Linked DNA regions of Macaca fascicularis. The protein of the gene in region 7 purifies or fractionates together with the protein of the main gene of each other region. This does not show direct contact. Links are inferred from orthologs where the notes say so. Each region holds a gene or a part of one and is shown on either strand. Other genes may lie near its edges. The genes, in order: G3BP2, HNRNPU, YBX1, DDX5, FUS, HNRNPA2B1 and IGF2BP3.

Evidence for each region.
Region 1: the proteins of IGF2BP3 (region 7) and G3BP2 purify together in Homo sapiens (affinity purification with mass spectrometry; 3 studies listed by BioGRID and IntAct, with this or other methods). This does not show direct contact. The link is inferred for Macaca fascicularis from reciprocal best matches to the Homo sapiens genes IGF2BP3 and G3BP2.
Region 2: the proteins of IGF2BP3 (region 7) and HNRNPU purify together in Homo sapiens (affinity purification with mass spectrometry; 3 studies listed by BioGRID and IntAct, with this or other methods). This does not show direct contact. The link is inferred for Macaca fascicularis from reciprocal best matches to the Homo sapiens genes IGF2BP3 and HNRNPU.
Region 3: the proteins of IGF2BP3 (region 7) and YBX1 purify together in Homo sapiens (affinity purification with mass spectrometry; 3 studies listed by BioGRID and IntAct, with this or other methods). This does not show direct contact. The link is inferred for Macaca fascicularis from reciprocal best matches to the Homo sapiens genes IGF2BP3 and YBX1.
Region 4: the proteins of IGF2BP3 (region 7) and DDX5 fractionate together in Homo sapiens (co-fractionation; 3 studies listed by BioGRID, with this or other methods). This does not show direct contact. The link is inferred for Macaca fascicularis from reciprocal best matches to the Homo sapiens genes IGF2BP3 and DDX5.
Region 5: the proteins of IGF2BP3 (region 7) and FUS purify together in Homo sapiens (affinity purification with mass spectrometry; 3 studies listed by BioGRID and IntAct, with this or other methods). This does not show direct contact. The link is inferred for Macaca fascicularis from reciprocal best matches to the Homo sapiens genes IGF2BP3 and FUS.
Region 6: the proteins of IGF2BP3 (region 7) and HNRNPA2B1 purify together in Homo sapiens (affinity purification with mass spectrometry; 4 studies listed by BioGRID and IntAct, with this or other methods). This does not show direct contact. The link is inferred for Macaca fascicularis from reciprocal best matches to the Homo sapiens genes IGF2BP3 and HNRNPA2B1.

Annotation. Positions count from the first base shown.
Region 1 is NC_088379.1:58,222,467-58,226,524, forward strand, and holds part of G3BP2 (ras GTPase-activating protein-binding protein 2), read left to right. Parts: intron 1-20; coding exon 21-102; intron 103-896; coding exon 897-1,070; intron 1,071-1,626; coding exon 1,627-1,717; intron 1,718-2,784; coding exon 2,785-2,887; intron 2,888-3,395; coding exon 3,396-3,576; intron 3,577-4,058.
Region 2 is NC_088375.1:4,313,483-4,318,042, forward strand, and holds the start of HNRNPU (heterogeneous nuclear ribonucleoprotein U), read left to right. Parts: upstream 1-1,615; 5' UTR 1,616-1,853; coding exon 1,854-2,544; intron 2,545-3,434; coding exon 3,435-3,546; intron 3,547-3,633; coding exon 3,634-3,707; intron 3,708-4,560. UniProt on the Homo sapiens protein: DNA- and RNA-binding protein involved in several cellular processes such as nuclear chromatin organization, telomere-length regulation, transcription, mRNA alternative splicing and stability, Xist-mediated transcriptional silencing and mitotic cell progression.
Region 3 is NC_088375.1:192,186,365-192,190,935, forward strand, and holds the start of YBX1 (Y-box-binding protein 1), read right to left. Parts: upstream 3,172-4,571; 5' UTR 3,033-3,171; coding exon 2,233-3,032; intron 2,196-2,232; coding exon of another isoform or gene 2,132-2,195; intron 1-2,131. UniProt on the Homo sapiens protein: DNA- and RNA-binding protein involved in various processes, such as translational repression, RNA stabilization, mRNA splicing, DNA repair and transcription regulation.
Region 4 is NC_088390.1:71,091,001-71,093,927, forward strand, and holds the end of DDX5 (probable ATP-dependent RNA helicase DDX5), read right to left. Parts: intron 1,981-2,927; coding exon 1,756-1,980; intron 1,529-1,755; coding exon 1,125-1,528; 3' UTR 822-1,124; downstream 1-821. UniProt on the Homo sapiens protein: Involved in the alternative regulation of pre-mRNA splicing; its RNA helicase activity is necessary for increasing tau exon 10 inclusion and occurs in a RBM4-dependent manner. Binds to the tau pre-mRNA in the stem-loop region downstream of exon 10.
Region 5 is NC_088394.1:29,371,195-29,375,252, forward strand, and holds part of FUS (RNA-binding protein FUS), read left to right. Parts: intron 1-980; coding exon of another isoform or gene 981-983; coding exon 984-1,125; intron 1,126-1,329; coding exon 1,330-1,508; intron 1,509-1,700; coding exon 1,701-1,971; intron 1,972-3,589; coding exon 3,590-3,624; intron 3,625-4,058. UniProt on the Homo sapiens protein: DNA/RNA-binding protein that plays a role in various cellular processes such as transcription regulation, RNA splicing, RNA transport, DNA repair and damage response. Binds to ssRNA containing the consensus sequence 5'-AGGUAA-3'.
Region 6 is NC_088377.1:104,109,068-104,113,125, forward strand, and holds part of HNRNPA2B1 (heterogeneous nuclear ribonucleoproteins A2/B1), read left to right. Parts: intron 1-288; coding exon 289-324; intron 325-422; coding exon 423-533; intron 534-694; coding exon 695-841; intron 842-1,135; coding exon 1,136-1,346; intron 1,347-1,490; coding exon 1,491-1,592; intron 1,593-1,665; coding exon 1,666-1,746; intron 1,747-2,241; coding exon 2,242-2,304; intron 2,305-4,058. UniProt on the Homo sapiens protein: Heterogeneous nuclear ribonucleoprotein (hnRNP) that associates with nascent pre-mRNAs, packaging them into hnRNP particles.
Region 7 is NC_088377.1:106,804,063-106,808,825, reverse strand, and holds the start of IGF2BP3 (insulin-like growth factor 2 mRNA-binding protein 3), read right to left. Parts: upstream 2,883-4,763; 5' UTR 2,502-2,882; coding exon 2,327-2,501; intron 936-2,326; coding exon 875-935; intron 1-874. UniProt on the Homo sapiens protein: RNA-binding factor that may recruit target transcripts to cytoplasmic protein-RNA complexes (mRNPs). This transcript 'caging' into mRNPs allows mRNA transport and transient storage.

The DNA.
Region 1 (4,058 bases), on a different chromosome or scaffold from region 7:
CATTAATTATGGTTTTGCAGGTTTTATGGCAGGAATTCTTCCTATGTTCATGGTGGAGTAGATGCTAGTGGAAAGCCCCAGGAAGCTGTTTATGGCCAAAATGTAAGTATCAATTTCATATATAGTTTAGAAATGTTGTGTTAAGACAGAGATTTTTAAAAATAGCCTTCTTATGTCCATGGATTTTTTTTTTCAATATGATTGTTATTGGTAACTGAAATTTATGTTTGACAGTAATTGTCAACATAAATTGTCAGTAGTTGTTCAGTTTAACAATAATTGTGAGACATGCTTTGAGTTCTTAAACATCATTTTTGTGTGAAACGTGGTGTTACACTGCGATGGCTACAAAGAAGAGAACAGTATGTTTTATCTCATTGATGTATTTTATATAGCAGATAGTTAAGACAGTGTATTAAGTTTATACAAATCTGAGCTAAACCCTATGCTATAGGAATGCCCAGAAACATATGTTTCCTATGACCTAACAGGGAAGGAAGACTTTGTGTAGAGGATGTGAGACCATAAGATTTGGCCTTACCAAATAAAGAATTACAAGTAGACAAAAAATAGCATCAGCAAACACACAGTAAAATTATGTGTAAGTTCAAGGAGCAGACAACATATGAGAATGACTAAATACTTATTACAGAAAAGTGGGAGACAGCTGTATAAAGCCAGATTACTGCACAATATCAGAGAGCTATTGTGATTTCTTCTTTAGGAGCATCAGTCTGGCAGTGATGCATAGCATGGTCAGTGGATTCAGTTCAGTCAGGAAGATTAAGTAGTTAATACTGTGGAGTTGTAAGGAAATCAGTGAGGGCAGGTAATAGTATTGTGTAGGTAATGCAGTATTACAAGAGTTTATATTTTTCCCTCCCTCCCTAATAAAGGATATACACCACAAAGTGTTATCTCTGAACTTCAGTGAATGTCATACTAAAATTCGTCATGTGGATGCTCATGCAACCTTGAGTGATGGAGTAGTTGTCCAGGTCATGGGTTTGCTGTCTAACAGTGGACAACCAGAAAGGAAGTTTATGCAAACCTTTGTTCTGGCTCCTGAAGTAAGTTTCTCATTTCATTTAGTTTTCATTTATATGGTTGAATTTGGCTGTTGCTAGTTGGTTTGAAGTGTCCAAGGGTTTCTAATAAATTTAGATTTGCATACTGCTATTTTTGAAGAAGTTGTGTTTGACCTGTTGTTTGAGTGAGTGAGTGTGTGTGTGTGTACATATGCTTTGACTATTTGGAATTATAAGTCAAATACTGATATAAGCTTGTAAATGGATGATTAAGATTACATTAATACAAAAACTATATTGGTATATTTGAAAGGTTACATTTGAAAACAAAATAGAAAAGTTCTGTTGATTTCTTTTCTATTAAATAGCTGTTTCTTGAGTTCTAGGTTGGTGCAAAAGTAATGGCGAGTTTTACTGTTGTATTTTTTTGAGTGACCTTTTTATTTTATATAAACATCATAGCATGTTCAGCATTGGAAAATTATATTAAGTCCAGATTTCCAGTATTAAAATGAGAAATTGTGTATGCCATGTAATTTGCTTTTTTATATAATACCAGATTTCTGGGTATTTATGGAATAAATGTTGTTTCCTATAGGGATCTGTTCCAAATAAATTTTATGTTCACAATGATATGTTTCGTTATGAAGATGAAGTGTTTGGTGATTCTGAGCCTGAACTTGATGAAGGTGAGGTTACTTTGAAGATACGAAGATAGAAGGGTTCTGTTGGTACTCTTTATAGACTATTTTCTATAAGTATGACATTTATGGAAATTTGCTTCTTTATTGTAACTGAGTCAAACATCTTTTTTTGTGGTTTTGTTGTTGTTGTCATTGTTATAAAAAGATGTCCATTGTTTGAGATTATACAAAATTTGGATGTCAAGAAAAAAGGTTTCCCTCAGTCTCATCCTCTGTAGATAACCAAGTTTGGTACCTATTGGAGAAGGTTTTTGGATTCTATTCATAGCAGCATGTATTTTTATAAATGTGGAATTACACTGACTTAAAGCTTCCTTTTTTTTTTAATGTAGTATGTCTTTGTTGGCTGTCTACATTGTGGCTATGCCATAATTATTTAATTGATCTTCCATTGATGTACAGTGGTTAGTTTCTTTATCATTATTGGTCTATTAAATAGATGTGACGAAGGAAGCTAAATTGTGGCTTTAATATAATTTTTTTCCTTTTACGAAAATTTTTTTTTTTTCTAATAGAGTACAACAAATATTAAACTTCATCCTTGCTCTCCAGTTTTTGAGAGAACAGAGGATATTGCAGTTGAATGCCTTTGTTAAAAAAACAAAAAAAATTTTTTGGGGGCTGAGCAAGGTGGCTCACACCCAGAATCCCAGTGTTTTGGAAGGCCAAGGTGGGTGGATCACTTGAGACCAGGAGTTTGGGACCAGCCTGGCCAACACAGTGAAAACCCTATCTCTACTTTAAAAAAAAAAAAAAAAAAAAAAATTTAGCTGGGCGTGATGGCGCATACCTGTAACCCCAGCTACTCAAGAGGCTAAGGCCAGAGAATCGTTTGAACCCGGAAGGCGGAGGTTGCAGTGAGCCAAGATCACACCACTGCACTCCAGCCTGGGCAACAGAGCAAGACTCCATCTCAAAAAAAGAAAGAAAGAAAGAAAATTGTCAAATTTTCTTTTTTACTATCATACCACTTCCTTAAACATGTGAAAAATATGTTCATTAGAAATTGTGAAGCCTCTTTAAAAAAGATGTGCTGTTTTATGTATTGTCAGAATCAGAAGATGAAGTAGAAGAGGAGCAAGAAGAAAGACAACCATCTCCTGAACCTGTACAAGAAAATGCTAACAGTGGTTACTATGAAGCTCACCCTGTGACGTAAGAATAGTATTTGCAAGGTTAAATTTGGTCTGAACTATGTCAGCAAGGTGGTTTTTGTTCCTAGAATTATCGTTGGAAGTAAATTCTCGGTAAAGTCACCTATTAGGTCAGTATTTGAGTACCTATTGTATATATGCAAATTTGGAAAGAATTGTTTTATTTAATCCAAAAATTGAACATGCCTTGCACCAAAATAGTGGTTCCTTACTGATAATGTGGAGTGTTTAAGACAACACAGAGTAAGCATTTTATTTTTATAAAAGATAGGTTTATAGTTAGCATTAAACATTCTTAGTAATTCAGTTTTAAAATGGTGGGGTTAAGGAACTGCTACTTGAGAGTATTATTCCTTCTGTTTTATAGTTCTTTTTGGAATTTTGCTTTGAATACTTTGTAGATCTAGAACAGGTTATTGGCATATAACTAGTTACACCTATTGGATTAGAGAGAAATTGAATTTTGTCTTGAACTCCCACTAAAAAGTGAACTAAATATTTTATTGTAGTAATGGCATAGAGGAGCCTTTGGAAGAATCCTCTCATGAACCTGAACCTGAGACAGAATCTGAAACAAAGACTGAAGAGCTGAAACCACAAGTGGAGGAGAAGAACTTAGAAGAATTAGAGGAGAAATCTACTACTCCTCCTCCGGCAGAACCTGTTTCTCTGCCACAAGAACCACCAAAGGTTAGATCAAAGAACTCTTTAGACTTACAACATCACATGTTCAAATTTGGTGCTGTTAATGAAGTATGACCTTTCTCTATTATGTTAAATTGTTTAGTAAATTACTTTATGTATATGAAAGAAGCTGTGGGGTTTTTTTTTTTGTTATCTGAAAAAATGTTATTGTTTCCCTGCCCCGCAAAATACCCCCTAAGACTGAAATTTATAACTTAAGATGAATCCTTCCTTGTGTGTATGCATTGTTTAGTAGCTTAAATGAAATTATTTGGATCCATGTATAGAGCTGTCAGTTGTTCTTTCATTCTGTATTAAATTCTCTGAGCACAGATGCACCAGGAATCATGCAGTTTCCCAACTTAAACAAGTTGGTCTGTAATTAAAAGAAGAGATACCTGTTGTTTGTGGTTTAAATGGGATCAGTTTCCTTTCTACACCAATTAAACTATCTTGGAAAGATGAGTGACATCCTTAGTGTATCATGT
Region 2 (4,560 bases), on a different chromosome or scaffold from region 7:
GTTTGTGAACGTGTAAGCCCCCTGTAGCTCTCTTCCCATTTTTGAACAAAAATAAAGAAGTTTCAAATTCAAGTTGGTGGCATATTTATAACCTTCAAAGACATTATAACCAAAGGCTAAAATGAGATTCTGGCACTGTTTGGAAGTTTCTATTTTGGGGGCTCGCCTCACCACTTAACTTGAACTGGGGATTATCAGTAGTACCGTACATAGTCCATTAATTTCAAGTCAAATCATTTCACAAATGTTAATATTTCACGTATACATGGCTGCAAGGTATGACAGAATGCTTCATAAAAGCCATTGAAAATAAACTTCAAAAGTAAAATGCATCAATCAGTTAAATCCCATTAGCCTATGGGAGAAATTTCAATATGTATACCTCCAAATTTCAAATTAATAATGGGGCAATATTATTGTGCCACCTAGAGTACCAAACAGTGGGTATAAACCATCTCCTTAGTCAGATGGAACACTGGCTGGACACTGCAGATTATCTGGGGTTTAAGACGTTAACTTCTATCACGAATCTAAATTCTGACTTCCCTGTCTAAAACTTCGGGAACATCACATCTTTTATTTAAAGCGAAAAAGTAAACTTCTAACATACAAAATAACGGATTTCTTTTCAAGAGCGATAGTCCTTTTTTTTTTTTTTTTTTTTTTAACAAAATCACTGCCCTTGATTTTTCATGAACTTTAAGTTTCAGAATGATTTGGTCAAGAGTATTTCTACAGGAATAGGAAGAGAATCAAGTGGGCCTATAATCAAAGACCTAGCTGGGTCTCACCCTCATGGTTAACTACTGAGACTTCATAGCCGATGACCAGGTCCTAAAGTGGACAGAACAAGCCTTACTGGAGGTCCGTCTTTGTGGTAGGTACAGAAAACTTGGAAATGCAATTCTGTGGTTTATTTAGGGTTATTAAGAGCATGAGAATAGCCCTGCAAAGGCTGGTAAACTAGGGTTTGCAGTATGGAGTAGTAAGCAAAGCCTCTACTTCCCAGGCCCTGCACCCGGGGTGTGGAACAGACAAAAGAACGGCTCTGCCCTTGCCCTTCTCGAACTTAAAATCCAATTCGCAAAGCAGGACTTACACATATTAAATCAAATACAGCATTATGCTGAAAAGAGCCCCTGCGTGTAACAGTTGCCAATGTGTGTTATACCAGTCAAAACGATTTGAAGGAGTTTTAAACGAAAAGCTGGAGAAACATACAAGAAGGCAGATCTAAGATGGAAGAAAAGGCGTATTCGGGTTGAAATGCCAAGTTGAGGACTGAAGAAAGCATTTGGACAAAGCAGCCTCCAGGCTGGGAAGGCGAAAAGCCAAACGAGTATAGCCACCAAAGACCCAGAAAGGCCAATAGATTGTGCAGTGAGTCGGTTTAACTGAAAGGCGGTTTCCTTTTCCTCCATTTGCTCAGTCCCAATTGGAAGCGCACTGCGCGGCCTGCGCCGCGCTCTCCGCCCGGGTTCGGCGTGGGGGCGGGGAGGTAAGTACGGTAATGGGCGGGGCCGAGCGCGGGCGCGCTCCGGCTTTCCTCCTGCGCAGCGCTCCCGTCAGCGCAGGGGGCGGGGCGCCTATATTACGTGCGCGGCGCCGCCCCTGCGAGAGGACGTTGCGTGCTCGCTCGCGCCAGGCGAGTCTCCGCGTCTCCCTCGCGAACTCGGTGAAAGGAATTGGCGCCGTTCGACACCAGGCGGATCCGCTCTGCAGCACGACCCCATCTCCAGCCGCAGCCGCAGCCGCCGCCCGGGCCGAGGAGCAGCCGCAGCAGCCGCCACCAGTGGCCGAGTGAGCGGAGCCGAGTTTGAGGCAGCGCCTAGCGGTGAATCGGGGCCCTCACCATGAGTTCCTCGCCTGTTAATGTAAAAAAGCTGAAGGTGTCGGAGCTGAAAGAGGAGCTCAAGAAGCGACGCCTTTCTGACAAGGGTCTCAAGGCCGAGCTCATGGAGCGACTCCAGGCCGCGCTGGACGACGAGGAGGCCGGGGGCCGCCCCGCCATGGAGCCCGGGAACGGCAGCCTAGACCTGGGCGGGGATTCCGCCGGGCGCTCGGGAGCAGGCCTCGAGCAGGAGGCCGCGGTCGGCGGCGATGAAGAGGAGGAGGAAGAGGAAGAGGAGGAGGAAGGAATCTCCGCCCTGGACGGCGACCAGATGGAGCTAGGAGAGGAGAACGGGGCCGCGGGGGCGGCCGACTCGGGCCCGATGGAGGAGGAGGAGGCCGCCTCGGAAGACGAGAACGGCGACGATCAGGGTTTCCAGGAAGGGGAAGATGAGCTCGGGGACGAAGAGGAAGGCGCGGGCGACGAGAACGGGCACGGGGAGCAGCAGCCTCAACCGCCGGCGACGCAGCAGCAACAGACCCAACAGCAGCGCGGGGCCGCCAAGGAGGCCGCGGGGAAGAGCAGCGGCCCCACCTCGCTGTTCGCGGTGACGGTGGCGCCGCCCGGGGCGAGGCAGGGCCAGCAGCAGGCGGGAGGTAAGAAGAAGGCGGAAGGCGGCGGAGGCGGCGGTCGCCCCGGGGCTCCGGCGGCGGGTGAGTGCTGCGTTGTACGTTGCGCGCGGCGGGAGGCCCGCGCGGGGTGGGGACCGTGCCCCAGGCCTGCCGGAGCCCCGCAGGGGGAGGGAGCCCCGGGCGGGCGGGGGCCGCGGGGAGGGTGGCGGGTGGGGGAGGGGGCGCGGGGAATCCCAGATTAGCCGAGAGGCCTCGGGCTCGGGGCGTGTGTGCGTGTGTTCGTGTGTGTGTGTGTGTGTGTGACGGCGGTGGCAGCGCCTCCATTATGTGGCTCGAGAGCCGGGGGGAGCTGCAGCTGCCGCTGGAGGGGGAGGAGCCGCGGGCGGGCGGCGGGAGGGAGCCCGGTCGGCCCGCGGTGGCGCCGTCGCGCTGCGTGCGCGCGGTGCGGGCACATGTCTCGGGGGGAGGGGAGAGGCCCCAGGTCCCGGGGCGGGCGCGCTTTGGCGGCTCCTCGCCGCTGTATTGTGCAAGGAGCGCAGGGGCTCGGCGTGACGTCACTTCCTGCGGGAGGAGCCGGGCGGGGCGGGGCGGGGGGCGGAAGATCAGTACAATGCGGCCGCGGGGAGCGCGGGCCCGCGGGGGAGGGGAGCGCCGCCGCGCCGGGCTCGGCCCCTCCCCCTCCTGCGCCCTGGTCGCGATACACGTGGGCTTCGGGCCTGGGCCGCGCAGTTTTTCTTTGGGTTTCTCGAATCATCGAGGAGACTGGCAAAATTCGTAACGTCTTTAGACTGCGTCACTAGCGCTAATCCAATTCGTAGCTGATTGTTCTTCGAATTCACATTTGAGTCCTCGGTTAAAACCTCAGTTAAAAAGCAGGATAAAGTCGAGCTGCTTTGCTTCTCGGAACGGAAAAGCGCTTTTTTGTTGTTGTTTAGCGGCCTGGCCTCTTATGGGGGTCTTGTGTGTTTTAGGGGACGGCAAAACAGAACAGAAAGGCGGAGATAAAAAGAGGGGTGTTAAAAGACCACGAGAAGATCATGGCCGTGGATATTTTGAGTACATTGAAGAGAACAAGTATAGCAGGTATAGGATGCTCACCTAGTTTTACTTGTCATCCCTTATTCGTTCGTTGATCGGAAAGCTGTATCAGGAGACAATTCTGTCTTTCAGAGCCAAATCTCCTCAGCCACCTGTTGAAGAAGAAGATGAACACTTCGATGACACAGTGGTTTGTCTTGATACTTGTAAGTGAAGCTGTTTCTCCCCAATTATGAAATGCGGTGATGGTTTTTATTTTTTTTTTTTGCTTCCAAAATGTTAGAAAACTTAATGCTTAAGTGCAGCAAAAGTTGGGTTAGTTTTTTTTAAAAGCAGGAAGAGATAATGGTTTATATTCAGAACCTAGTAGTTTAATATTTAGCACGGCATCAGTTGTATCAAATGGATTATTTTACAGGCTCTAGGAGTTTCATATTTTTATGACTTGAAAGTTCTCGTTCTTAGGAAATGTAAAATTAATGCCAGTTTCTGACTAGCTAACGGAAACTTGTAACACTACCTATAATTTAGCCTTACAGGCTTCTACAATAAAGTAATTCATTTTTTTGTGGAATTATATTAAGTGAGCTATTTGGGCTAGTTAAATATTTACTAATGACTTCTCCCATTAGCACACAAGTATATTCCCTATTCTAAAAGATTGTAATATTATTTTTTCAATAACTGCTCTTTTGTTCTCAATTCCAGTTCAGTAGCTGCTGCTTTAAACATAAGTTGATTTCTTCCAAAGACCTGAGGCAGCAGCAGTGGGCTATCACTGGGCCACTAGCTTTCTTCAGCAGCGAATGGTATCAATGGCAGTGCAGCACTGTAAATACTGCTACTTCACCCAGTTGGGTTGCAATTGAGTATGAGAAAGTATTGCAAACCTCTAAGTGGGCTTTGACTGTCAGACTTGCATTTTTTTTGTTGTTGTTATAAAAAAAAGTAGTTGGTTTAGTGACCAGAATTCACAACTCTGGGTGTGATAAATAGACCAAAGAATAGAAATACCTGTTTGAAAGTATCAGCTGTGGTGTCAGCCTGCTCTTTTAGATG
Region 3 (4,571 bases), on a different chromosome or scaffold from region 7:
CGTTATGTGTCAGTCAGTCTGCCTCCCTCATAAGAGCCAGGTGCCTCCAGCCAAGTCCATTCGTTCTACTACAGGAACTACATATAGAACCAACTGCTAGCTTCCAAACTGATTTAACACATACATTTTCCTTAATTAAAGCAAATCTTCCCTGTATTTAATTGGAGTCAGATTTTACAGCATCTTATTAAAAAAATCCCAGAATAATTAAAACAACCAGTTCAGAAGCATAAAGAATATTTTAACCAGTTAATCTGACAAAATAATCGAGGTTAGGATAGTCCAAAGGACCATCAAAAGCCAATTCATAACTTGCCCTGGAGGATGACCAACTGAGTTGATTCCAATTCAGAACAGAGATATTCAATGAATAGTATCTCATGGACTAAATACTTATAAAGTGTAAAGATAATACTCTTATTTTGGACAAAACTATTGATTTCAAAAAATGTCATAACCTATGCCCACTTAAAAAAAAAATGCAGCGAAACAAGGCACATGCTAAAACTTCTTAAACACATACAAAAACTGCGATCTATCTGCTGAAAAGGATGCATATTTGCACACCAGAGTTACCATTACATTGGGTCAAGGGTTAAAAGCAGTGATTTTGAAGGTATGGCCCGAAGACCATTATCATTCCTGTTAAAAATGTACCCAGACCTAATGAATCCAAAGCTCAGAAGAAATACACCACTTAAATCACACCCTTCCAACGTAAGCACACTTAAATTTGAAAACCACTGGTTTAAGAGTTAGACTAGTAAGGACAGTCAGTAAGACACAAATACAAACTAAAACACTAACAAATTCAGACAGATCAGTTAAAAAGCTATCAGTTTACCAATCATATATAAGCATTCCCTTTCTTCTTTGCTAGTAAGCTTTTATCAAAAAATTAATGAAAACCGTAGTTTCAGCCAGCCAGGAAGGCAAACAGTATAGAACAAGTTGGAAAATCCTAAGATTCTGGAAGAAACAAAATGTTTTCCCACAATTGCAAAAGTAGAGAATAGATCATCAAATGCTTATCTCTTACTTTAAGTATTTCCACAATACTCTATGATTGATTAATGAACAGTTTTTCATCAGGCCATGAATCTGTCCTTAAGCTTGATTTTGCCCATTTGTTGTCCATTCCACGTTGTTCTTTTAATCATCTGCTTAGGTCTTCTACAGTAAGTAAGCAAGAGAATGCTGAGATGGCACTTAAGTACCATACCTGTGAGGCCAAGATTGCTACTGGCATACCCAGTGCTCTACACCCATGTAACTGCACTACTAGCCTTGGCAGCCATCTTGAAAATGATGCCCGGCTCACAAGGAAGCCCATGGAATACTGTGCGTCTACTGCACGTTACCACCACCACTGCCACAAACAACCCGAAGGGTAAGTCCTAAAGACGTATCTGCAGCTTTACCTTCAAACAGGAAGAACAATGTCAAGTTACTAGTGACTATGGCCACTCTAATAAGCTACAGCCAGGGATCTAGCGGAAATTGACTTCATCAGCATGATTTTAGGACAAGGAAGAATGAAATAAGAACTGAAGGAAAAAAACCATTTTCTTGCAGATATATTATTTATGAACAAATAAAAACAGTTCTCTCTGGTCAAAGCTGTGCTAATACAGAATTTATCTCAGGTATTAAAATGAAACGTGAAACAAAGGCAATACAACCTCTCGGTAAAGATGACAAAACCTCATATACTTGACACGTCAAATCCTCTTACCCCCAAAATGTTAACAAGGCGTAAATATCCGATGTCAGTGGATCACATTCTCAAATACCGAGTTCAATAAAGTAGAAAAGGATGACAAGAATAAAAATCTACTGGACCGTACTTTCCCGTTTACCCTGTTAAGGAATGGCTCATTCACTCCGCTTGCCTTTTAAATTGCTTTGTGCTGTGACGAAGCCCTTGAAGTTAGCTTCAAATTAATATTTAGCTGCAAAACAAAGGCATTCTCTAAACCCAAATCCCTCCAGTCGTCAAGGAAAACAAACAGACAAAAAATCACATTAATACACCAGAGGTAGTAAACGCCTTTCAGAAGAGGACTGTGGATTGGCACAGCAAGAAGCAAGCAAGAAGGTAGGATGGAGGCTTCAGAGCCCAGCAGCTCACCTGTTGATGAAACCATATCCGTTCCTTACATTGAACCATTTTACTGTTCCCAAAACCTTCGTTGCTGGAAAAGAAAACAAAGCAAAACAAGCCACGATTACCAGCTATCCTTTTCCAAACCCGTCTCGCTTCGGCATCCGGTCCCTCGCACGCTGCCCGCCGCGGCCACCTGACAGCCCTTTCTCTCCACCGCCTGGGTGCGGGTCCGCGCCGGGGCCACGCCGCCGCCGCCGCACACGTGGGTGAGTCTGAAGCGCGGGGCGCTCCCGGGCAGGCCCGGGGCGCGGGCCCAGGATGGGTGTGTTCGCAGGCCGCGGACGGAGAGCACGTGAGGGAAGGGGAAGCAGCTCCGGACTGCGTAGGCGGTGCGCCGCGCCCTCCGAGCACACGCGGAAGGGAGCTGGGTGGGGGAGACGCGAACAACGGCGTGCGGGCCCGAGCGCACGAGGCCAGTCGGCGGGGAGGGGACCCCGTCGCACACGCGGTCGGCGGCGCGCGGCCGCAGGAGGAGGGGCGCGCGGCCGCGCGGGGTCCACAGGGGGCGCGGGAGGCAGTGTGCGCGCGCCTGCCGGGCGGGCCCCCGCAAGAGCGAGTGGGGGGGCGGGGGGAGGGGCGGCCGCGCGCCGCGGAGTCGGTCCCCACCGGCCGCGCGCCCGCCGGCTCGCCCAGCCCCGGCTAACGGTTCCGCTGCCAGGCTGCCCGAAGGCCCCACCCCCGTCCCTGTCCGGTCCTCACCGATGACCTTCTTGTCCCCGCCGGCAGGCGCCGCCGATGTGAGGCCGCCCGGGCCACCGCTCCCTGCGCCGCTGCCCGTAGTGCCGGGCTTGGTGTCGGCGGCGCTGAGGGCGGGGGCGGCGGGGGGGGCGGCGGGCGGCTGCTGGGTCTCGGCCTCGCTGCTCATGGTTGCGGTGATGGTGACTGGGGCCGGCTGCGGCAGCTGCGGCTCCTCCCGGGGTGTGATGGTAACTAGGCCGGCGGCGGCGGTGGGGCTGCTCAGGGCTCTCTGGGGTCCGCTCTCCGCTCCCGCTACCGATCGAACTAGCGAGAATGGCGGGACAGGCGGGATAAGCCCTACGATCGACCCGCCCTAGGCGTTGTTCACTGGCCGGTGGTACTGTCAATCTGCCCACCTGACCTCAGTCCCTGGCTTCTATTGACTAACATTTTATCAGTCCTCCACTCTCATTGGCTGTCTGGCGGCTAATTCAGCCGACCTACAACCGTTCCTGCCTCCGCCGGCCGCCATAGAGACCGGAACTAGAATTAGAGTAGTCGGCCACGAAAACCATAGAGTACCTGAGAGGACGGGCAGAGGGAACGTGACTTCCACGAGGCAGTCGCCGGGCTGGCGGGCCCGACGTTCAGGGTTGTGTCTCGGCTGAAAAAAAGGCACGCCCGAACGCTGGGCAGGGATTACCCGGCCGGACCCGGGATTGGAAGGGGGCTCGACGACGCCTTAGCTCCCCGTGAAGAAAAGGCTTCCCTCCCTCCCTGCACCAAATACGGTCCCTGTGATCTGAGAACATTACGGCGGGCATAGAGTCGTCTTTTCTTTAATGGCCGTGTACTCGCGGCACAGCCGAGGGTTTCTGGAATTGCCTTAAACGTATGCGTTTGAAGAGCGTACGCTTTTGTCGGAGCAGTCACCTTGGAGGGACCACGCAGGCTCTGGCAGCCCGGGCTCAGCATGTTTAGGGCGAGGGTGTGCTCCGTGGGGACCTGCCTTCTGATCCGTTTTACCAGGCATATATTTTTAAAAATGTGTCTTCCTTTTCAAGTGTTAACGTGTTTTTCTACTGGCCACAAATCAGATTTAATTCAACTCACATTTATTGAACAAGCTAGCGTCCTATGTTTTTTTTCATTTAATTCGTACAACAGCCATGTGATAGAGGAATTACTATCCACGTTTCACAAACGATAAAATTGAGGCTGCCACCTGATGTTACTGAAGTCCTCCACCCACCTTCTTTCGTTCTTTTTTAAGCGTCTACTATCGGCTGGGGATGGAATAGTTCGCGAGTCAGTTTCTGCCTTCTGATGGAGGCAGAAATTTAAACAGCCAACACGGTAAATACTCCAGAGCTGCAGAAGCACGAAGTATTTTGGGAGTAGAAGCAGGGAGAAGGTGGAGGGCTGACTTTCTGCGCACAGGGTACAGGCGAGAAGGGGTGGGATCTCGGGAAATGCAGTCAAGTAGTTCAATAAGACTCGAATGTGACATTGGGTTGCAGAGGTGGGCAGAGTCACTTAGGTGTATTGAATTGGAAATATATCCTGAGGGGAAGAGTGAGAAAAGCAATTTTAGAGTCGTAAGTAGGGAGGGGCATCTTTTTAAAAATGGCTGCGGAGTGGAGAATGGGTTGCAGAGGGGCAAGGAATGGAAGTAGAGAAAGCAGTTAGGAGGCTAGTGCAGTATCCCTTACCCCTACCAATGCCG
Region 4 (2,927 bases), on a different chromosome or scaffold from region 7:
CTAAAGCTATCCCCTGGATCTTTCTAGCAATAAACCCATGTTGAACCTACCATGAAAACTTTTATTCACTGTGCTTTTGGTTATGTTGCCTCCTGATTAGTCATTAATTTTAATGAGGTTTTTTCCTTGTGTTGAGTATGAATAGACCTTACAGTTTGAAGATCTCTAAAATTCCCTGAATTATTGGAAAGACATTCATGACTCCCAGCGTGACTACAGTTAAGAGCCCCAGGGAGCCTGTGAAGACTAGAATCTACAAGTAACCTGCACTGAGAACGTTGTGCAAACTCAATCAGTTAAGGAGACTCAAGTTTAGCTCCTGGCCATCTTAAAGAGCGAATGTATGTCTTTCACAGGTTTGTTCAACATTTCAGTAATTCACAGTATAGCCAAGAGCATGAGAATAAATCTCTTGAAAAAAAACCAGTTATTTGGAGCTTTTTAAATTATAAATTTTGCCAAAGTCATCCACATTCTCACATTACATAGATGACTTTGTATCTATTTCACTATTCTCTCATTTAACCATACTAGCAAATAAGGAAAAGGCTATATTAAATGACTCCCCTGATGTTGGGAGCTGACAAAGCTTTTATGCAATGTAGCCTATAACTAAAAATTCACCTAAATCAGTTCATTGACTCCTGCAATATAGTTCATTGTAAAGGGCCTTCTGATTCCCCCTGCCTCCCAAATTAAATAAAAAGGAGCAGTCATTTGTTTTCATGATTAAAAACAAAACAAAACAAAAAAAACCAGACCATCTAAGCAAAGTTTTACATAACATTATATATATAAAATAAAGTACAATTTCCACTTAATTCAGTCTTCAAATATTTTTTATTGGAAGGCCATGCATTGCCTTCATTTATTGTATTTCAAATCACTGTACATTTACTTTTGTGAAAACACTGCCTGCATTTTCTAGTACAAAAAAAACCTAAAAATTGTTTCAGGAATGTAGAGAAATATCCAACTTAAATAGCGAAAAAGTGCACCATAATTACTGCTGCACTGCAGTCATTTCTGCAATTCCCATGTTTCTTAAATAACTATCTTGTCAGATAACACACAATATAAAGAGCAATTATGAAAAACAGACATTTACATATACTTCTAAAGTCTTATTGAGAATATCCTGTTGGCATTGGATAACCAATCATAGGTGCGGCTGCAGTAGCAGGATATGCATATGCCTGTTGGTTCATACCATTGTGCATATTTGGAACATTACTTCCGTATTGCTGAGTGCTATCATAACCATTCTGGTAAGTCCCTGTTGGATTACCAGTCCTAAAACTGGTCTGTATACCAGCAGACACAAAATTACTTCCAAAGCTCCCATTAGTGTAATTTGCAGCACTGTAAACACCATTCTGAGTTTTTGCCCCAAAATCTCTCTTTAGCAGGCTAGAGTAACCTCTGTCATAATTTTCCCTGTCTCTAAAGGTATTAAATCCACCCCTTTTGCCCGCAGAGTATCTGTCCCGACGGTCATCCTTCATGCCTCCTCTACCCCTGGAACGACCTGTCAAAAAAAAAAAAAAAATTGCAAATTGATCAATTATGTCTATGACACAAATCATTGTGGACAGAAAGAATTAGATCTATTCATTGCAGGCGTGAAATGGTTTTACAGTTTTTCAACATAAGTTTTCCGTTCAAGGTTTTACTCACCCTCCAATACCATTTAAATGGATTTGTAGACAACGATGTGACTCACAACTACCAACATTTCCTATCAGTCATCCTTACCTGAACCTCTGTCTTCGACCAACTGAAGCAACTTGGGATTAATTGCTTGATTAGCTTCACGAAGCACAGAGATAAGGTCGCTCACTTGCTTTATGTTATTAGGTGTAAAGAAAGTGTATGCTGTGCCTGTTTTGGTACTGCGAGCAGTTCTTCCAATTCGATGAATATAATCCTCTGAGGAGTTAGGGTAGTCATAATTGATGACAAATTTCACATCTTCCACATCTGTAAGGTGTTGCAGTGTGGCAAAATAGCAATGTACGGAGTTTTGCACACCACAACAGCCAGACCAAAAATAAAAAGTTAGACAATTGTATTCCCAAGAAGGTACGGGCTGCAAAAAATACAGTTAAAATGGTTATCCATTCCCTGTAGGAATACCATTGAGGTTGAAAAAAGAAAAAAAAGCACATGTCATCTGTATAAGTTATCACCCACCCAGTGACAGACCCTGTCAAAAGGAATGTGTATTCCCTAGCACATTCCCAAATCAGCAAGTTCCCTTACAGATCATCAAGTGACATCTGAATGCTTCTGCGCAGTAGGGCCACTTAAAGTTTCACAGCAACCTCTTCATGTGCTCATTTTGAGGACCTTGAAACAAAAAAATGTACAAGGTCCTTTGCATTACACATTCATCAGAAGTTCAAACTTCTGGCCACACTGCTTGTCTTGCCAAGACCTTACAACCGCAGCTGCAAGAAAACATACCTGTCCCCCAAAAGTTGTTTTTATGCACTGTGTCTCGTCTAGGCAAGCGCTTCCAAGAAGCCAGGATTCACTTGAGAATGTGTCTCTCTCTGGCAGGTCTCGACATGACGACTACTGTGTAGGTGAGGGAGGAACTTTCAAAGCACTTTCTTTTCCCACTGACTATGTGTGAGAAGTTGCTCCTGCTCTAGATCTCATGTGCCAGTACTCACCAATTTGTAAAAGGCTTAGTACCTTTTAAAGCTGCTCTCTCCATTTCAAACTTGAACAAAAATTTCATTGAACATTGAAGTTTGGAAATATTTCTTCGACATTTCAGCAAACTCACTGAAACTCAAAGACCCACAGATCACAGTGAACAGTTTGAAACAAGGCTGTACCATGGCAGTCATGCAAAGCATGGGACAGAAGAAATACCACGGCAGTGAACTGTGAGGATAACTTCCATTTTTTCCCTCGGA
Region 5 (4,058 bases), on a different chromosome or scaffold from region 7:
AGCCTCCTGAGTAGCTGCGATTACAGGCACCTGCTACCACGCCCTACTGATTTTTGTATTTTTAGTAGAGATGGGGTTTCACCATGTTCGATAGGCTGGTCTAGAACTCCTGACCTTGTGATCCACCTGCGTCAGTCTCCCAAAGTGCTGGGATTACAGTTGTGAGCCATCACGCCCTGAATGTCCCTTTTCTTAAACCTGAGCAGGACTGAAGTGTTGAAACTCTTCCATATTTCTTTTCCCTAAATGAGTGTATAATTCTTAAAACTCTTTGGGATCTGAGTCCTTTACAGGGCATTGTGGCACACCTGTAGTCCCAGCTACTGAGGAGTCTGAGGCAGGAGGATTCCTTGAGTTCAGGAGTTTGGGGCTGCAGTGAGCTATGATAGTGACTGAACAGCGACTGCATTCCAGCCTGGGCAGTGTATTGCGGCCCCATCTCAAAAAACAAAAATGTTTTTTGGTTTGTGATTCTGTTTACATTTGTTTTCTTTGGCTTTTAATTTTTATGACTCTCATTTCCCATCTCAGCATGAAAGAGCATATTTTCTAACGGGAGAACCAGTTTTAGGCCAATTCTTAAATGGAGAAAATGGTTATGCTTGAAACAAATGTATGAAATCATGTGATACATAAGGAGGTGGGATTGCCCCAAGGTCCTGAAGTGTAACTAAGAAAGGTGGTTGTCCTGTACGTAACTGCATGCACAGCTGCATATCACAGTGCTGTTAACAGGAATCCTTGGGCTTGGGATTAGAGGGTGTTGGGGTTGGCGGGGTTAAATTGGAACTGTCTTAGAGAGGATAGAAGTTGGAGCATTAACTTTGGGCTTTGAAAGGAGGGTAACTATGAGTTGCAAGATTATGAACAGCTTCTGAAAGGCTGACTTTTTGAGTATAGGTATTAGGTTGTATATGTTTTAACACATTTCTTACATTTTCTTTTTCCTGGTGGCTTTTGTGACTTCTTTTTTCTTGTAGCAGGCTATGGAACTCAGTCAGCTCCCCAGGGATATGGCTCGACTGGCGGCTATGGCAGTAGCCAGAGCTCCCAATCTTCTTATGGGCAGCAGTCCTCCTACCCTGGCTATGGCCAGCAGCCAACTCCCAGCAGCACCTCGGGAAGGTACGGTGGTGTCGATGTCGGGGAAGGCTTGAAAAGAGGGGTGAATTGATGAGGAATGATAAAGGGACCAGCAGCAGTAGGAGCAGTTTAGAGGTATAATTGGGGTAGGGGAGCCTGTGTTGAGTACAGAGAATGGAATCCACTAAAAGGAAATTGGGGGGCTATGCTGGGATTGTGATTGTGTTTTTTGTTTGTTTTCCTTAGTTACGGTAGCAGTTCTCAGACCAGCAGCTATGGGCAGCCCCCGAGTGGGGGCTACGGCCAGCAGCCTAGCTATGGTGGACAGCAGCAAAGCTATGGACAGCAGCAAAGCTATAATCCCCCTCAGGGCTATGGACAGCAGAACCAGTACAACAGCAGCAGCAGTGGTAGTGGAGGTGGAGGTGAGATGTCCTCAGCTTTGTCTGCAGCCCATTTTCTATAAGGATTTGTATTCTGTTTTAGCCTAAAAGGGTTCCTGTTTTATTTCCTAGCTGTCTTTTTAATTTCTTTTGTACTTCATTGCCTGGCACTTGTCATACCTTTTTGTGCTACTTTACAATTTTTTTTTTAAACCATCCTTTTTTTTCTCACAGGTAGCTATGGCCAAGATCAATCCTCCATGAGTGGTGGTAGTGGTGGCGGCGGCGGCGGTGGCGGCGGCGGCAGTGGTGGTGGTGGTGGTGGTTATGGCAATCAAGACCAGAGTGGTGGAGGCGGCGGTGGCTACGGACAGCAGGACCGTGGAGGCCGTGGCAGGGGCGGCAGCAGTGGTGGCGGCGGCGGTGGTGGTGGTTACAACCGCAGCAGTGGTGGCTATGAACCCAGAGGTCGTGGAGGTGGCCGTGGAGGCAGAGGTGGCATGGGGTAGGTGTCTCATGAGCCAGGGAGTATCTTTGGTGGGGAGTGTGGAGGATTGCATGAATCTCCCTGAAGCCAGTCCCTAATGCATGGTTTAGTATTCTTGTTGTCTGGGGGATTTGTGAGGGCTTTGATTTGGGGGCAGTGATTTTCTTTTTACATCCCCATTTTATTTTTGTGAGAATTTGGGAGCCTGAACTCCCATCCATACCACCGAATAGAGATTTTGAGTATTGATACTTGTTTCCAAAAAAAAGAAATCATACATAGATTTCCAATACGTATGGATTGGAGTCATTGATATCCTAGGCAAGAAACATGGAAGTGAAGACTTCTTTCTCTGCAAGGGAAACCGATGAACCCACTCCTGGGAAATAGTAGGGAAACTTGGTATGTGTGTTCCCGTGTGTCCTCTAGGGAGTTGGTAATGGTTAACCTGACTTCAGCTTCCAGGAATTGGTTACTCTTCCCGTTTTCTGTAGTCATTTGAATCCACGAGCTTGATTTGCACCAATTTGACCGACATTGATTTTGGGTGTGACTTGGTTTATGGGACCAACTGACTGAAGTGTGCAGACCTTTTGGGCAAAAATATGCTTGACAGTGGTCTCCCACCTAGTTGTTCCACTGTCTGCCTTACCCTGGTTACTTAAAATTCATCAGCTTGTCCAACTGGACCTTCTTTCCTTCCTGCTGAAGTTGATTTGAAGTAAAACCTTAGATTTGATGTTAAAACAGTTGTCAAATCTGTCGGTAAATACGATTTGAAGGACCCCACTCTGTCTCCCTTGAAAAAGGGCAGGAATGTCAGTGTAACTGTTTTTGGAAAAAGTAGATTTTTAAACTGAGTTTGGATATGGTAAGTATGCAGAGGTGGGTGGGGGCAATCTCAAAAACGTACAAAAATGAGGAAAACTCTGTTGTGTGCGTGTGTTTAATGCAAAACTTTAAAAAGAAAAACAACTGTTATGTGACTGTTAACTTGCTCTGCATTTTATGTGCCACAGGTATGAAAGGTGACATTGCAAAATACTCCGCTCTTCTCGCAGTGTAGAAGGGGTGACCCCGGGGGTTGGGGGAGATTAAAAACAGCTCAGTAGTTAGGACAGAGCTTAGCTAAGTTTGTCTTGCTTTAAGGGGAAGTTGCCTTTGGTTTTGACTTTTTATGGAATGGGGTTGGGTCTGCTTGCTGCTTTCAAAGCAAAAACCACAAAAGTGTGTTCAAGGCTACCCCAGCCTGGTGTGAAATGTCTTCTGGGTAAATTGGGGTAGGGTTTTTAAACCAACTACTTGGTTGTCAACCACTTGCGACAAGAGGAAAAAAAAACATCTGCTCCATCGGAAGAACGACCAAGGAAAATGGGTCATTTTTTTCCAGAGGAAATAGATACATAACCTTTTAAAGCAAAATCTTTATAAACTGTGTCTGAGAAATTGCACACGTGTGTGTGACATGCTCAAAGGTCAGACAAGGGGTGGTCAGGAAGGGATGTATTTTAGTAGCCACTTGTATCTTTTTCCAAAAACACCTACCCGTGTTTGGGAAATGTTAAACAAAATCAAAAAACACCCTTTTGTAGCCGTTGGAAGCTTCATGTCCTTTCTTCTAACTTGTCTTCTCCAGCGGAAGTGACCGTGGTGGCTTCAATAAATTTGGTGGTAAGTGAACAGAGTTTCCAAAATTCCCAACTCCCAGCAATGCTTTGTCTGATTGTTCATTTGCAGATGTCTTAGCGTGTTAATTTAAATGTCAAAGGTTTTGAAGTGTCCAGAACCACCTCCATAAAGGGGTAGGGTAGAATGCCACCTGTTGCCTGGTGTGTGCTAACCTGGAGCAGGCAGGGGTAAGATTCAGTAGTCGTCTTTTACCAAATGGGTTTGCCCCAGGTTAATAAGAGGGGTTTAGTAGGCCTTGGACAGGGCTGTTGCCACACCTGGCACTTAGTGACCATCATCATGAGAAACTGGAGAGTGCGTGCTGGAACACGTGGTGCCATCTTGACTTTAGGATCCTTTTGATCATTGTGTCCAAGGCTTGTGTGTGTGTGAGAGTGGGAGACAACCTCCAAATGTTTTAATTCTGGAAGAGGGAT
Region 6 (4,058 bases), about 2.7 Mb from region 7:
ATAAATAGAAATCTGGGTTTTTAGGTTATAGGGTTGAAATTTTTGGTAAAGATTTAGTAATCTTTTGATAACCACGGTCTACATTTGTTCATTTCTCCTTAGAAATTTTTTAAATTAAGTAATAATACATTTGTTTAAGATAATTTAATGTTGAGTAAATTTAGATCAAGCATTAATGACTTTGAAACTTGTGTAGATCAGCTGAGGCAATTTTTTTGGTGTAACACAACTAATATGCAGTTTAACATATGGTTTAAATTTGATGTAAGTTTTTTTTTTCCCCCCCAGAAAACTTTAGAAACTGTTCCTTTGGAGAGGAAAAAGGTACTCTGCCAGCAGGTCACCTCATATTTAAGAATTTAATTTCCTGCATACAAAGAGGAAAATGTAAATAAAAATTGAAATGGTATTTTCCTTTGCAGAGAGAAAAGGAACAGTTCCGTAAGCTCTTTATTGGTGGCTTAAGCTTTGAAACCACAGAAGAAAGTTTGAGGAACTATTACGAACAATGGGGAAAGCTTACAGACTGTGTGGTACGTAAGTTACTGAATTGTTACTGTATGTTAGTATCGTAGCTGTTTAAGTGAATCATGGAGGAAGTAACTATATCAGCATAGTAAATTCTATTATAATGACTGTTTACTTATAAGTTATAATGAGATTAAATGCTAAAGTTTCCTCTTTGGTTTGAAAGGTAATGAGGGATCCTGCAAGCAAAAGATCAAGAGGATTTGGTTTTGTAACTTTCTCATCCATGGCTGAGGTTGATGCTGCCATGGCTGCAAGACCTCATTCAATTGATGGGAGAGTAGTTGAGCCAAAACGTGCTGTAGCAAGAGAGGTAAGCAAACCATGACTGTCTTGTGCAATTAACATAAAGAATGCTGCCTTGCTGAACATCGGAAAGTATCTCTGAATTTAGTTTTAACTCAAGATTTTATTAAAGCTCTGTTGGGTTTTTGGACCATTTTCTGAAGCTAACTTATTTGTCAAAAGCTAGGTCCCTAAAAGCTGTTGTTGTAGATCTGGTAGTTTTAAGGTCGATACAAGCCAAGTATGGTACAAAGGTCGGCTACTTTGAATCATGCTTGTGTTTTTTTCTGTCGGGATGACTTTTACCCCACCAATATTTTAGGAATCTGGAAAACCAGGGGCTCATGTAACTGTGAAGAAGCTGTTTGTTGGCGGAATTAAAGAAGATACTGAGGAACATCACCTTAGAGATTACTTTGAGGAATATGGAAAAATTGATACCATTGAGATAATTACTGATAGACAGTCTGGAAAGAAAAGAGGCTTTGGCTTTGTTACTTTTGATGACCATGATCCTGTGGATAAAATCGTATGTAAGTGTCTAACCACAAATGTACTGTTCTTACCATGTATTCAATTTTGTGTATGTTAACATCTAATTTTATTGAAAGGTAAACTTTTAAAGTTGTTTAATGTTGTTGATTTAATTTAAAAGGAGTTTGAATTTTTCATTGCAGTGCAGAAATACCATACCATCAATGGTCATAATGCAGAAGTAAGAAAGGCTTTGTCTAGACAAGAAATGCAAGAAGTTCAGAGTTCTAGGAGTGGAAGAGGAGGTAATTTCAATTCTGTTTCTTCTTTATTTTTATTCATGTAAGGGCTTGCTTCTAACTGGGGCATTTATTGTAGGCAACTTCGGCTTCGGGGATTCGCGTGGTGGCGGTGGAAATTTCGGACCAGGACCAGGAAGTAACTTCAGAGGAGGATCTGGTAAGTTCAAATTCTATGTGTTTAAAGGATGAGTGTGCTTTTATTTTAAATATGATTAGGTTTTCATTAGTAGAATCAGGAAATCAACGTAAATCAAAACCTTTCCCTAAGACTTCAAATAGATAGTATCCTGGCAAGTTCCTGTGACTTGGCCAGACAAGAAGTTTAATAGGGTTGTGTTAATAAGTTATCTGGATTGATAATGTAAAATGAAGTGTCATCAGAAAAGCTTTGGCCCCATGAAGTGTCATTCTTATGTATAAATGAAATGGAATCTCTAAAATTGAGACTTGTTCAGTTAAGAGTTCAAAATTTAGGTGGTAATGAGATTTAATTATATGCTTTCATGTTTTGTGAATAAACTAGTAGCACTAGCGTGTGCTTTTCTGAGGTTCTTAATTATTGTGCTGAGGTATTAAGAGAACTGAAAAAATGAGTATTAGTAATAATGGTGAACAGCTTATAGTAAATGTAATCTTTTTTGCTCCCTAACAGATGGATATGGCAGTGGACGTGGATTTGGGGATGGCTATAATGGGTATGGAGGAGGGCCTGGAGGTCAGTTTCCTCTATATTTTGGTTTGTTTATGTGACTAATACTTAACCATATTGTATATTTAGTTCATTTATATTTTGAGTTTTTAAACATTTTATATTGCCCCTTATAAAGGGCTTAGGTGATAGTGGTCCAGTTATTTCTTTTATAAGTAATTTGACGTCTTAGTAGTTACAGCCTAAGGAATACAGTGCTATTTAAAATGAAAATTTAAAGATAATCACAGTATTCCATCTTAAGCAAAATAATTGGATCTAGATATGTTTTTGTACTGTGCTTTCTGGAAAAGTGCAGAAGACTGGATTTAACTGAGTAAAATCTAAGGGGGGAGAATACGTAGGAGAAAAATGTAAAATATGTCTAAACCCTTAACTAGATGGTAAGCATCCCAGGATAACTTTCAAAAAGTAACCTAAGGAAATTTTCCAAAATGTTCACTGTGCTCCTGGCTACAGATAAGGTTATGAACTACCATTGAACCTGAAATGTGATATAATAAATATATCAGTTTTATTGGCGTACAGAAAAGGCTGGTGCCCAAGACAGATTTTGTGATAAGGAAGGGACATTTAAAACTATGAGCTGGTAATAGACTTGATTTCTGGTGTTGCCACTCATTAGGTGTGACTTAAGTTCTACCATTTAAAATTTTAGAGAAAGCTGAGTTCTTGTATTTAACTACAAGTAATTTGAGACTCAGCCCACAACAGAAGCTTTTTTTTTTTTTTCCCCTTTTTATAAGGTGGCTTTTGTTTTTTTGAGACAGCCTTGCTCTGTTGCCCAGGCTGGAGTGTAGTGGCGTGTGTCTGCTCACTACAACCTCTGCCTTCCCGGTCCAAGTGATTCTCCTGCCTCAGCCTCCTGAGTAGCTGGGATTACCGGTGTGCACCACCACGCCCACCTAATTTTGGTATTTAGTAGAGACAGGGTTTCCCCATGTTGGTCAGGCTGGTCTTAAACTCCTGACCTCGTGATCCGCCCACCTTGGCCTCCCAAAAGTGCTGGGATTACAGGCGTGAGCCACTGTGCCCGGATGTTTTGTTTTGTTTAGGTTTTGCATTATGTGAAAGTGTTTCATTTGTCCCTACTTCTGTTTACAGTAAAGAACATACTGTGTAGAGTGTTGTGCCTATTTTTTTTTCTTTGAGATGGGGTCTGGCTTTGTTGCTCAGACTGGAGTGCAGTGGTGTGATCTTAGCTCACTGCACCCTTAGCCTCAAGCCATCCTCCCACCTTAGCCTCCTGGGTAGCTGGAGCTACAGGGTGCACCACTGTTAACCAGCTAATTTTGTGTTTTTTTGTAGGGGTGTAGGGGTTTTGCTATGTCGCCCTGACTGGTCTTGAATTCCTGGGCTCAAGCAATCCACCCGCCTCAACTTCCCTTACTGCTGGGATTACAGATGTGAGCTCCTGGGCCTGGCCAACAACATTGTTTTGTTTTGTTTCAGAGAGTCTCTCTGTCGCCCAGGCTGGAGTGCAGTGGCGCAATAACAGCTCACTGCAACCTTTGCCTCCCTGGTTCACTCCATTCTCCTGACTCAGCCTCCCGAGTAGTTAGGACTACAGGCGCCTGCCACTACACCCGGCTAATTTTTTGTATTTTTAGTGGAGATGGGTTTCACCGTGTTAGCCAGATGGTCTTCTTATCTCTTGACCTTGTGATCCACCCACCTCAGCCTCCCAAAGTTTACAGGCGGGAGCCCCCGTGCCTGACCGAGAACATTGTTTTAAAAGATGTAATTCGTAGGGAGACATA
Region 7 (4,763 bases):
AACAAAAAAATAGAGCCGGAATCTGGCCGGCTCTAGCGAAAGGAAAGGAGTCGCTGCAAAAGGCTTCATAAGAAAAAGAAAAAGGGAAAGAGCCATGTCTCCAAAATGCTTCAGAGGCTAAAACAACCTGCAAACATTCTGTAAAGGGACATACTACACACATGATCTCGGAGACGAGAAATCCCCCTCCTTAAGTGGCACAAAATCTTCCTGTCTTCATCATTTGGTGGTTGTAAGCAAAAATGTACCCAGGAGGAGTAGGGTGGAAAGCGGGGAGACAAAGGTGCTGACTGCAAGAACCTGTAGAACTTTGGAATGACTCAAAGGCACTTCTGGGCCGGAGAGGCCCCGGCGTTTACGCACGCGTTCCAATACCCCTGGCGAGCTCACAGGGCAGAGGCAAATTCCTCTCCAGTCGGCCGCGCCCACGGCCTCCCAAATCCGGACAGAAAGGCGCGCCCCCCGCGTGTCCGCAGCTGGTTTCGCCTTTCTTGCTCCTGGAGGGGTAGGGGAATCATCCGCTGCTTCCCAAGTCCTGCAGAGTACCCCCCGAAACTGCTTGTTGCGACCCATTTCCCGTAGGAGCAATTTGACCCGCTGTGACCGAGGACATTCAGCTGTGAGCTTCCGAGAGATTTTGTAACCAATAACCATAATCCCGCGGCAGAGGCCACAGACAAGCTTTCAATTCCTACCCAGCATCATCAACACACACACACACACCCCCGCCATAAACTTAAAAGCAAGGGGAAAAGACCAGAACACCACGCCACACCGCAGCCGGGTAAGCACCAAAGGACAAGTTCTCAGCTGAGTCTCTCCACCCAATAACGGAGTGAGAACAGAATCGGGGGAAACAGAAGCAGCAGCTCACCTTTGCCTTTTTGGGACCGAGTGCTCAACTTCTATGGGTTTCCCGTGCAGTTCTATTTTACCTGCGGACACACAAGAAGTGAGAGACGGTCGGCCGAGTTCAGCGGCTCTCCCTGCCCGAAAGACCCGCACAGCCCAACTGGCGACACAAATGGCCTCCTGAGGCCCCCGAAGGGTCCCCGAGACCCGGACGCGGCTCCAGACGGAGGGAGAAGCCGACCCCCTCGGGCGGCGTGGGCATTTAACTCGCAGATGGTTGAGGAGCAGGGTCCGCTGACGGGCCCACTACTTGGGTATCAGTCCAGTCCCCAAAGCCTCCCCCACCCACCCCTGGGGGCCACCAACACGAAGCCCCCAAGAGGGACACGGCCCATCCTCTCACCGCCCTGGACACGCTCCACAGGACAGACTCGGGGCAGGGGGCTCCCCTGGCTTTCTTCTGGAGGGGGCGCCCTGGCTCTGCCCTCTGCTTCAGCCCAACCCGCCGGGAACACTTAGGAGTGGGCTTGGGGAGGACAGGGAGTGGCGGGAAAGGGTCGGGGACGGCAGGGGAGACCCAGAACGGGAGAACTGGCAGAGGCGCAGCTCGGCTCAGGCTGAACCAAGAGCGAAGGACTGCGAGGCGCCCGCACCACGTCTGAGTTGATTAAAAGGGAAGCCGAAAAGCACGGGGCTCCCATGGGGACCCCAGCACAGCCTTCCCCCGGGCGTCCCGCCCCGCCCGGCACCGTCCCTCGCCCTGGCGGAGCCATACCCGGAGGCCGCAGCCCCGCGCCAGGGCCCGGAGAGCGGCGGGCGGCCCGGTGCGTGGCGGCGACTCCCTTCCAGGCGACCAGCCGCCCCCGCCCACCTGCCCCTATCGCTCGTCGGACCGGGGGAGGTGGAACGGGGAAACCGGGCACACTCTCTCCTCCCGCAGGGTGGGGAGGAAGCGCGGGGCCGCCTGTGCGAGGCACCAGCCCCGCGGTCTCACTCGGCAGCAAGGTCGAGGCCACTTTCCGTTCTCCACGGCCGGGGTTTCGGGGCGCAGAACAGACAGCGCCGTAAATAACGACCGAGGAAAGCAGGAAGGAATGAGACACAGGCGGGCATTCTAGCTCGGCCCCCGAGGCCCAGCGTGCCGGGGCCTGGAGCACGCGCCTGGGCCCGGGCGGGGCGCCGGGGGAGCGCGCCTCCCCCAGCCCCGCGCCCCCCTTAGCCAGCGCCGGGGCTTTCTTGACAGCGCGTCCGCCCTCACCCAACAAACCCCGGCCGGGGAAGCAGAGCCGCGGGCTGGAGTGGGAGCCGAAGCTGAGGAGAGCCCCGGCCCCCACGCGCGTGGGTGTGGGCGCTGAGGCCTCACCCCCGCTCCCCCAGCGCGCCGGGCCTGGGGCCCGCGGAACCACCCCGGTGGGTCTGGGCGGGCGGTGCAGGGCTGGGGCGAGAGCCCGGGTGGGGCCAGGCCCGGGCCCACCTGAAAGCGCCTCGATGGCCTTGAGGGCCCAGCTCTCGTCCGGGCAGTCCACGAACGCGTAGCCAGTCTTCACCAGGAAGGGTCCCGACACCGGGATCTTGGCGTCCTTGAAGATACTTTCTAGGTCCGAGGGGGCGGCGTTGTCGCTGAGGTTTCCGATATACAGTTTGTTCATTGTGAAGAGTGGTTGTTTAAAAAAAAAATTAACGAGAAAAACGAAAAATTAAAACCACCCACGGTGATGGATGGATCCAGCTGGTTTTGTTCCCCTCGTCTTCTCGCCTTTAAAATACACAAACACAGTAAGAACCAAGCACAAGAATGAGGAGCGAAAAATCAGATCCGAGGCTTGTTTTTCCTTGTCTAGATATGTTTTAAAAGAGAAAGAAAAGAAAAAGCCTAGCTACAACCCAAACGCATCCACCAGTCTTCCTAAGTCTGAGAAGGAGGCGGGATTAGCAAGAGAAAGGAGGAGGAGGAGGGGAAAAAACTACTTTTTGTCTCTTCCTCCCCAACCCCTTTGGCTTCGGCCAGCGGACTGTGAAAATATCACACTACGTGAGGCAGGCGCCGCCTCCCCATAAAAAACCCAGAAGGGTGACTGGCAGGAGGGAGGGGAGAGGAGGAGGAGGAGGGATGAAGGCGCAGGAGGCGGAAAAAATCCGCTCCGAGTGTCCGGCTTTTTGAATGAGCCACGTGTTCAAACTACAAATCAACGTCTCACGTGAGGAATCCCAGAGCCTCAATTAGAGTGGGTTTCAGAGAAAAAAAAAAAAGCGAGCGAGAGGAAGAGGGGGAGGGGAAACGAGATTGGGAGAGGGACCCTGAGAAGGCGGAGGAGGAAGAGGGAAAATGCTAAAGGAACCGCAGCCGGCACCGAGGGGAGCGCGGCGCGGGGCGCTGACGGTCACAACTCGAGTTTGGAAAGGGTTATCTGGTCTGGGCGGATCCTGGGAGGGAGGGCTGGAATATTGATTTTTTTTTTTTTTTTTTAATGAGGAAATGGGTAGAGGTACTAACAGGCAATTCCTCAGCTTTAGTTACCGTAGTTTTAATCATTCGATTTTTCAAAATAGGTTATTAACAACAAAACCAGAGTCACAATCTCGAACTCGCCTGGTGGCTTTAATGGCATTAGAAGTGTAACCCCAGCAAAGCCGCAGGCACGTTTCTAAGGCTGGCAGGGACGGAAACGATGCGAGGAGGGGTGGGGGACTGGGTGAAGGGGGCAAGGGGTAGTGGCAAGACAGGCGGGCGACGCACCCCACCCTGTGCGCCCTTCTCGGGCCCCGGGCACCCCGCGAGTGGGGGCGGCCCGGGCCCGGGGCGGTGGGGGATGGGAGCCCGCAGCGTCCTGGGCGGGTGTCTGGGCGACACCTCCTCCGCCTCCGCCTGCGCTCGCGGTGGCTCTCGGCTTCGCGTTTGCCATTGGTTGCGCGATTCAGAAAAGGCTCCAGGATAAATGAGGCCGGGGGCGGGCTTGGCCACTGGTGGGGGAGGGGAGTGCAGGGGCGGAGGTTTCTAGCTAGGGGCTGGGGTCGTCGGGGACCTGGGCCGCTGGAGGAGAGAAGTCAAAGTGGGAGAAGTCGGTACTTAAAGGGAAATCCTCTCTTCCTGTAGTTTTTAAAGGGGGAGGAGTGGAGCAGGCTGGTACTTTTATTTAATTAATTTTAGTTGGAGAACTTGAGACTTAAAATTGGAAGACCGTCCTGCGTTACCCCTAGGTGGGATTCGTATTTGAAAAACTGTTCGAGCCTCTTTCTGCCTCTTTTCTGCCTACATTTGGTCATGAGAGCCATACATAATTTTCTCTATATGTAATGAGCACAATGGTGGTTGTCGGGGGAGGATTTGGGCCCGGTGGAGCCTTTGTGGGCCAACACAATGTGAACTGGAGACGAGCAATACGGAAACGAAGGCAGTGCTGGGGTTCTAGTGGAAATCTCCAAGTGTCGTTTAATGATTGTGTACTCCACTCAAAGCTTTCATTTGCACTAGATAGTTGTGTTTTTAACAGGTATATTTTTAACAGGTATTCTATGGAAAAGATATAAAATGCTAATTTTTTAAGTGAAATAAATTCTATATAACATGAAAATATAGACAAGAATCTTTAATGACTTGGTACTCTTACTGGTAGAAAAAAGGTATCCTGAATAGAGGAAATATTGTGATTTACGCTGGAAACATCTTCGGTAATTGTTAAAAGCTTCTCTGTCAAAACCGTTGTTAGCATTTTAAAATGTGTATTTTTCATTTAAAAGATGAATGGTAGATTTAAACATGGGAATTACTGCATGATATAAAGAGTATTTACATTTTGCCTTTTAAAGGGAACTTACTTTGTAATTTTGTGTTAAGGAACCGGAAGGTGTCAAATCATCCATTTTAAATGCAACTGTTCTTTCTTACAGGTTTTTCTTTCCTGCCAAGCGAA